2 linked regions of the Drosophila melanogaster genome follow. The protein of the gene in region 1 binds, or shares a complex with, the protein of each later gene. Each region holds a gene or a part of one and is shown on either strand. Other genes may lie near its edges.

Evidence for each region.
Region 2: brm (region 1) and osa share a complex: the UniProt entries of both Drosophila melanogaster proteins name them as parts of the brahma complex.

Annotation. Positions count from the first base shown.
Region 1 is NT_037436.4:15,981,270-15,985,024, reverse strand, and holds the start of brm (brahma), read left to right. Parts: upstream 1-2,155; 5' UTR 2,156-2,222; exon of another isoform or gene 2,223-2,456; 5' UTR 2,457-2,516; coding exon 2,517-2,757; intron 2,758-2,813; coding exon of another isoform or gene 2,814-2,825; coding exon 2,826-2,902; intron 2,903-3,136; exon of another isoform or gene 3,137-3,557; coding exon of another isoform or gene 3,558-3,755. Other genes in the region: PolD1 (DNA polymerase delta subunit 1), read left to right, coding at 1-639; Arl1 (ADP ribosylation factor-like 1), read right to left, coding at 841-1,162, 1,431-1,647, 1,745-1,748; CG17027 (uncharacterized protein), read right to left, coding at 3,558-3,755. UniProt on the Drosophila melanogaster protein: Transcriptional regulator. Acts as a coactivator, assisting one or more dedicated transcriptional activators of ANTC and BXC homeotic gene clusters. Can counteract the repressive effect of Polycomb protein.
Region 2 is NT_033777.3:17,716,564-17,720,318, reverse strand, and holds the start of osa (osa), read left to right. Parts: upstream 1-1,968; 5' UTR 1,969-2,363; intron 2,364-3,384; 5' UTR 3,385-3,552; coding exon 3,553-3,755. Other genes in the region: Pxt (Peroxinectin-like), read right to left, coding at 1-288, 583-748. UniProt on the Drosophila melanogaster protein: Trithorax group (trxG) protein required for embryonic segmentation, development of the notum and wing margin, and photoreceptor differentiation. Required for the activation of genes such as Antp, Ubx and Eve.

The DNA.
Region 1 (3,755 bases):
GCAGCCAAACAGGCACACGTTGAGCTGGCCGCCAAGATGAAGAAAAGAGATCCCGGTACGGCGCCCAAACTGGGGGATCGAGTTCCCTATGTGATCTGTGCGGCAGCCAAAAACACACCCGCTTACCAGAAGGCCGAGGATCCGCTGTATGTGCTGGAAAACAGCGTGCCCATCGATGCCACTTACTACCTGGAACAGCAGCTGTCTAAGCCGCTGCTAAGGATCTTTGAACCTATTTTGGGCGACAATGCCGAGTCAATTTTGTTAAAAGGAGAACACACGCGCACACGAACTGTGGTAACATCCAAAGTGGGTGGACTTGCTGGATTTATGACCAAGAAAACGTCGTGTTTGGGCTGTAAATCCCTGATGCCCAAGGGCTACGAACAGGCCTGTCTGTGTCCACACTGCGAGCCACGAATGAGTGAGCTGTATCAGAAGGAGGTGGGTGCGAAGAGGGAACTGGAGGAGACCTTCTCTCGCCTATGGACCGAGTGCCAGCGATGCCAGGAATCCTTGCACGAGGAGGTCATCTGCTCCAACAGAGATTGTCCCATCTTCTACATGCGACAGAAGGTTCGCATGGATCTGGACAATCAGGAGAAGCGGGTGTTGCGATTCGGCCTGGCCGAGTGGTAACCATTGCATGAGTTTAATGAATTGTTTAATCCTATAATTTAATAATTATATTACTAGAAGTTATTACAAAGTTTCTTTCGGTTCGTGGATTTTTTGCGCAATCTGCAATTTGAAAAAAGCTGTTGACGTTCCCTAGCTGGCGATGCTTTGGACACACATTTTTTACACAGGGATCTGGGGGTCTGAGGACTGGCTAAGTATCTACTTGCGACTCTGCAGGGTGTTGGACAGCCAGTCCATGGCCTGGTCGAGTCCCTCGCCCTTGGTGGCCGACGTTTTGAATATTTGAAATGTGCGGTTCTTTAGGTTCTCCAGTCCTAACGCATGATGGACCTCGGCGACGGTCATGCATCCGTCCATGTCCTGCTTGTTCGCCAGGACGACCAGTATCGCGCCGGCCAGCTCCTCCTCACGCAGCATGTACAGCAGCTCGTCCTTGGAGATGCCAATGCGGTCCCGGTCCGCCGAGTCCACCACATAGATGATTGCGTCCGTGTTGCTGTAGTAGCAACGCCAATAAGGTCTATAATGGAAATAGCACGAATTGAGATTAGGATTACCATTCTTAAAGGCCAAATAGATATATGTACGTAGCCTGCCTAAAGAAAGAACTATTAGCTATTTTAAGTTAAGTTGTGGATGCAGATGTTTCCTATCTTATCAGCTACAATTATAATGGCTTTTTGGAAACCCAAAAGGCTTACTAAACTACAACCGAAAATATGTCTTCTAGATATTAAATAAGACTTGGGTAATGCCATCACAATACTGCTCTCGTGTAACCAACTCACCTAATACTTGTCTGTCCGCCCAAATCCCAGACCTGGAACTTGAGGTTCTTGTAGGTGACCTGCTCCACGTTGAAGCCGATGGTGGGTATCGTGGTGACCACCTCGCCCACCTGCAGTCTGTAGAGGATCGTGGTCTTGCCGGCGCCGTCCAGGCCCAGGATCAAGATGCGCATCTCCCGGGAGCCGAGCAGTCCGCGAAAGTAGCTGAGCACCCCACCTGGAAGAAGAACGTATGATTTTTATGACCAGACTTCGTCACCGGGTGTCGCCGGAACGGGGAGGTTCCCCACGTCCATGCTCCGTGCTGTACAAACCCATGATTACGGCTGAACTTTGTCTAGTGCTGGCGCTGCCTCTAAATGCTTAAGTTTAGTAAACCTAGTTAATTGTATGTGGTGCTACAATTAATACAAAATCGCAGAAGTCTTGTTTTCACTTTTTTTTGGGCTGGAGAATGGTTTCGTTTTTGCCATTCGCAGGTCACGCGAACATGACGTGTCACAGCGTGCGTTCAGCACGAATATATTTTTGTAAAAAATAACATTTTAATAACTTTAAAAAAACGTTTAATATCATTAATTAAATTTAAATAAATACCATTTTAAGGAGTGCATACAGATTAATTATAAAAATATTCACAGTGACTTGTGCTGAACGCGCCCACCTTTATTGCCGGTTCACAGAGTTGCCACCCTTGCGTGACTTTTGTTATAGAGACGGCCGCCATTAGAGTTTTGCCGTCGCGTCGCGTTGTGAAAAGAGAAGAAAACCTTCTGAAAACAGTGCTAATAGGTAATACTTTCGGTGCCAAATGGAGCAATCCGATTGCGTTCTTCGCGTGCGATTAGCGTGCAGTTGATTTCGGCCGATTTGGCGTATCTTTAGCCGTTATTTTGGGTTTGCACCGGGCTGCGCGAAAAAGTGTGCCAAAAGAGGCACACAAAACGGTAGCTACGATTACATATCGTGGCTATAGCTTCTTTAATGTTGGTAAATACAGTGCATTGACGTGTGTTCCATCTGCAGATTAGGCTGCACCAGTTGCTGGATATCGCTATTGGATAAAGTCAAGAAAGGAGCTGCAATATGGCCTCGCCCTCTCCGGCGAACAGTCCCATGCCACCGCCACAGGCGCCCAGTCCGATGGCCCCGCCCTCGCAGAGTCCCGCCCCCTCGCCGCACAGCCCGTATCCGCACCAGCAGCCGGGTCCACTGCAAGGACCTCCGCCACCCGGACATCCCGGTGCCTACGGACATCCCATGCAGCACGGACCACCCGGCCAGGGTCCACCCGGGCATCATATGCCACCGCACCACCAGGGGATGAGTATGTTCTTAAACAACCCAACACCAATCGCTCCAGTCACACGTAATTATCCGTAGTTTTCTCAAAAGGTCCGCACATGGGAATGCAGATGCCGCCGACGGGACCGAACATGTCCCCCTACCAAACCCACGGAATGCCACCCAATGTAAGTGACCCCCAAGTCTAGCCGTAGGAATCAAAATAGTAAGCCTACTTAGATGTCTCAGTTCTCAAATCAAATCTATGCCATCTGGACAAACAGTAGCTCAGTGCAAACATTGAAAATATTTCCATCGATACTTTCAAAATTTTTATAATCAGTAATTAGCAAGTTTTTAAAATACTTAATACGTTTGTAAAAGATCCTATAAAATCTACATAGTATTCTAAACGGTAGATTAAGGATTTCTTTAAATTTCTTTATTTACTTTACTCTATATACAGATATGGGTACATAAATATCTAAATTCCATGTTAGACTAACATTTTTCTGAGGGATGCTATATGAAAAAGGTATAAACAATACGAAATTCGTGAAACTTTGTGAATAAGTATAGAAATACTAAATTTCCAAGTAGGTAATCTGTATATTAAGTTGTTTGCCAGCTAAATGCTTAAAATTATGGTATCATACGGTGTTGTTTTTCAAAGTCTCAAGATTGACGGGCTTTCCCGCCTTTTTGACGTGTATCGTGGAACAGCTGCCGGCGATTAAAGCTGGAATATATCCGAAAGCTCCCCATTAGCAGAGCTTCGAGCGCCAATTGGCAGTGCAGCTGACCCCAAGCTTTTCAATTAAGATCGTTGTTGCCTTGCCTAAATTACTTCTGCACCGGCTTCCCTCCCACGGACTCCTCCTGGTCTCCCTTACGCAGAAGGTCTTCGATCTCCTTGCGCAACTTCTCTGTGCCGGCGCAGATTAGATCCGGCTTCATTATGTCGAATGGTCCGCCAAAGGGATGTGTTACCACGCCTCCCGCCTCCTTAACCAACAGGGAGCCGGCGGCACAATCCCAGGG
Region 2 (3,755 bases), on another chromosome or scaffold:
GCGCAACTCCATGCATCAAGTGCTCGAAATTGCGACGCGCCTCATCCAAAACTGCGGGTGACAGAATGGTGGGAAATCCGGATCGACGCTCCTTGGGAGAGGTCTCCGGCTTGGGAGCAGTGTGATTCTGTCCAGTCTCGCAGCAGTAGCCGAATTTTCCAGCCGGGAGATCGCAAATTTGGGGCTTTTCATGGCTTTCCATGCGAACGTGGGCGGGACACTGGATTTGGGGCACGCATCTTATACCATCGCTGCAGGGAAGGCATTTTTTCAGCAGACCACTGGTAGCTACACAGAAAGACCAAATTTGTACAATTTACGAAATAAAAATAACCATAAAAATATAATTTTAAAATTGAAGAAACAATTATACTTTTATATTATATTGTATTTAATTTTACAAAAATTTGATTTTGTTAATTATGTAAATATGAAAGTTTTTTATGCAGTTGTTTTCAGTGTAGAGCGATTAACCGTAACTTATATTCACAGAGAGCGGACAAGAACACTTTCACCCTTTACGCCATTTTGAAATTGCCGAGATATTCAATTTATATCACTAAACGTACATATGTAACCAACCTTTTTCGGGTTTCTTAGAAGATTCAGTGGAAGTGGCCAGAGGTGCAGGAGTCTGCAAATCAGGAACTTCATCAAAACGATTTTGGCGCACAGAAAATGCTGCCGCCTGCAACTCGCTCAGTTGCGTCACAATAAGTAGCAACAAAATAAATAAAATGCGACTCATTATGCGTTTAATGAAACATTTGTTGGCTTATACTTAAAAAAGAATCGACAAGCTCAACCTAATCGTGTTAAATTGAACTTAAAATGCCGCCATTTTGCACTCGATACCAGGAATGCTCGATATCACAGCAAGTCGAAAGCAGTGTACTGTAATTCTCGTACGTGTGCTGTTAATGTCAGTAACATTTTACTGTTAAGCGCAACTTCTCTTATTAGCAAATTGTGCAAGCAGTTCAAAAAATAAAAATGTTCAATATAGAATTTCATTAATATTATAAAAAAATAAACAAATATTTTTTTAGTTGATATCCTTGGCAAAAAATATTTTTAAAACCTATGAGTAAAAATCCGGAAGCCAGTAAATCGAAAACCTAGTGTTCTACCAAAATAAATTTAATAAATTTTAACAATGTTTGTGACAATGATCAATGCATAGGGCGACTATTGATATTTAGAGTTTCACAAAAATTAAAATGTATTGCATCAATTAAAATTAATAAAAGAATTTGTTTTTGTGGATTAATTACGTTGATGTTGTTTACGTCTATTTTAAAATTGCTTATGCCGGTAGTTTTGTATGGAATCGATAATAAGCAAACCAAAAATCACGAATATATCGATGTTTAAACTCGCTGTAGTTGCATAGTTCTGCCACTCTAAATTCAAGTGGTTTGTTAACGGGGGTATAAACTTTCAAAATTGTATTTACTCTCTTATAACTTACCAAAATTTTATTATTATTATATTATTGCAATTATTGCAATTTTGCAATTTACCTTAAAAACTTTAAATTGACGTATTTCTAAAACGAAAGCGCTGGCCACGAATAAGGCTTTCTAGTTTTTATAACTTTTACATCTTCACAAACTTTTACGTGCTTTTATTCGAAAAAAATGGAAAATTTTAGCACGCCGTTTAATTTGAGTTAAGTTTCCGTTTAAAATACCGCAATAAAGATGGCGTCCCAGAGTAGCGAGAAATCGATATCGATGCCAACTCATTTTTGCGTCACACTCAAATATCGCTAATTCGCCAGCTATTGATTACCATATATATTTAAAAAGCGAACCAGAACGTAAAATAAATATTCATTGAAGTCCAATAAATAAAAATAGTATAAAATATGGATAAAGCGATAAAATTTCGTGCTAGAGCTATCGGGGGCTATCGAAACGAGCACCGATAATGTATCGCAGTGCCAAATACTCGTACGTATCGATACTATCGTGCGTGCTACCCGCTCTAATCTTGTACAGGCTCGCTTCTTCGTCATGCTGCGAATTTGTTCGAAAAATAAGTGAAATACAGCGCATTAATAGTGAAAAGTATGTGCAGCCTGTGCAGGGCCCAACTGGCGATTAGCCGCGTGTGATTGTGGCCGCCGTATCAGCGTTTTGGCAGCGCCCAGCCTGGCGAAAAACCATCGAAAAAAAGAAGAGAAAAGAACGCCAGGCGCAGACAGACAAGACTTGCATACACTACTACTTGAATCGTTTCATTTCGTTCCGTTCGTATACCGAGTTTGCTGCCCTGTCCCTGTCTTCTCACGCGAGTTCGTTTTTAGTATATATAGCCAGTCTGTGGACGGTCGTCAATGCGTGAATATTCTTCTATGTGTAAGTGGTGTGCGTGTATGTAGATTTCTGGTTAAGAAAAGCCCCAAAAACCAAAGCGCCCCGCAAAATATATATTGAGTCTTCTTGGCCCAACAACAAATCTGCCGCCGGACTTTCGCCCGAGGGCGAGTGAAAAATTCAGTTTCTCTCCTCTCGACGATGCACTTTGGAGGCTGTGTGAGTGTGTGTGCGAGTGAGTGCGTGTGTGTATACATATGCAAATGATTGGATGTCGAATCCTTGCATCATCATCATCTTCATAAACACTTGGCGAAAAACCGCAGGAAAACGCAAGCAGCCGAACAAAAAAAGAGAGCCTCTCAAGACAACGGCAGCGGCCAAAAGTGAACGCGCAACAAACGCGGCCAAGCAGGCGCGGCAATTATTTATAAATCTTAAGCGTTAGCCCCCCTCTCTCTCCCACTCACGAAAAGAAAATAAGTTAAACAATTGTGAGATGATGCCCCCTCGTCCATTCCATTCCAGTGCTGTGTAAACGCGAAAAATCGGCATAGAAAATAATTACGAAAAAATCATTACTGTGCTGCCCGTTTCATTCGTTTCACACAGAAACTAATAAAGCGAGCAAGGGAGAGAGTGAGCGAGCGAGCGAGAGCGCCATATGCCTTCAGCCTGGATGGCGAGCAAGTGCAAGTGAGACGGAAAGGGATACGGCGTGTGCGTGTATAGCCGCCAAATGTGAAAAGAGAGAGCGAGAGCGCCAACGAGAGTGGATGCGCTCAAACTGCGAGAGCGGTTGCGGCAGGGTTGTCAACGCACTACGATTTGCCCACCGTACGCGGCGGAAAATAAATTGTTGTGGTATTGGTGCTGCCTGTTCGAGTGAGCATGTGTGTGCGTGTGTTAGTAGCGGACTTTTCAATACACAACAGCCCACGAACGAGTACAAATTATTTATGTTTAACCCGCTCGATTTAGGCCCAGTGATATAGGACTGCCCCCTTTAATAAGCCAGACCCCCTTTGCCAAATGCTAATCCCCCGTTTTTGATAACTTGCAGCTAACATAACCTCAAACTCGCCGCTGCAGTCGTCGTCATCATCAGCGTCAGCGTTGTTGTTGTTGGTGGTTACCGGTGTTCCATCAGTAGCCGCCACACATCTGGGAAAATCCGATCCGGAAAATCTGGGAGATCGGGAGCAGCGCAGCCAGAAGCCGATGAGCAGCCATGAATGAGAAAATAAAGTCGCCGCAAACACAGCAGCAGCAGCAAGGTGGCGCTCCCGCCCCTGCTGCCACGCCCCCATCGGCTGGAGCGGCTCCTGGTGCCGCTACACCGCCAACCTCGGGCCCGCCCACACCCAACAACAACAGCAACAACGGTAGCGATCCCAGCATCCAGCAGCAACAACAAAATGTTGCCCCACATCC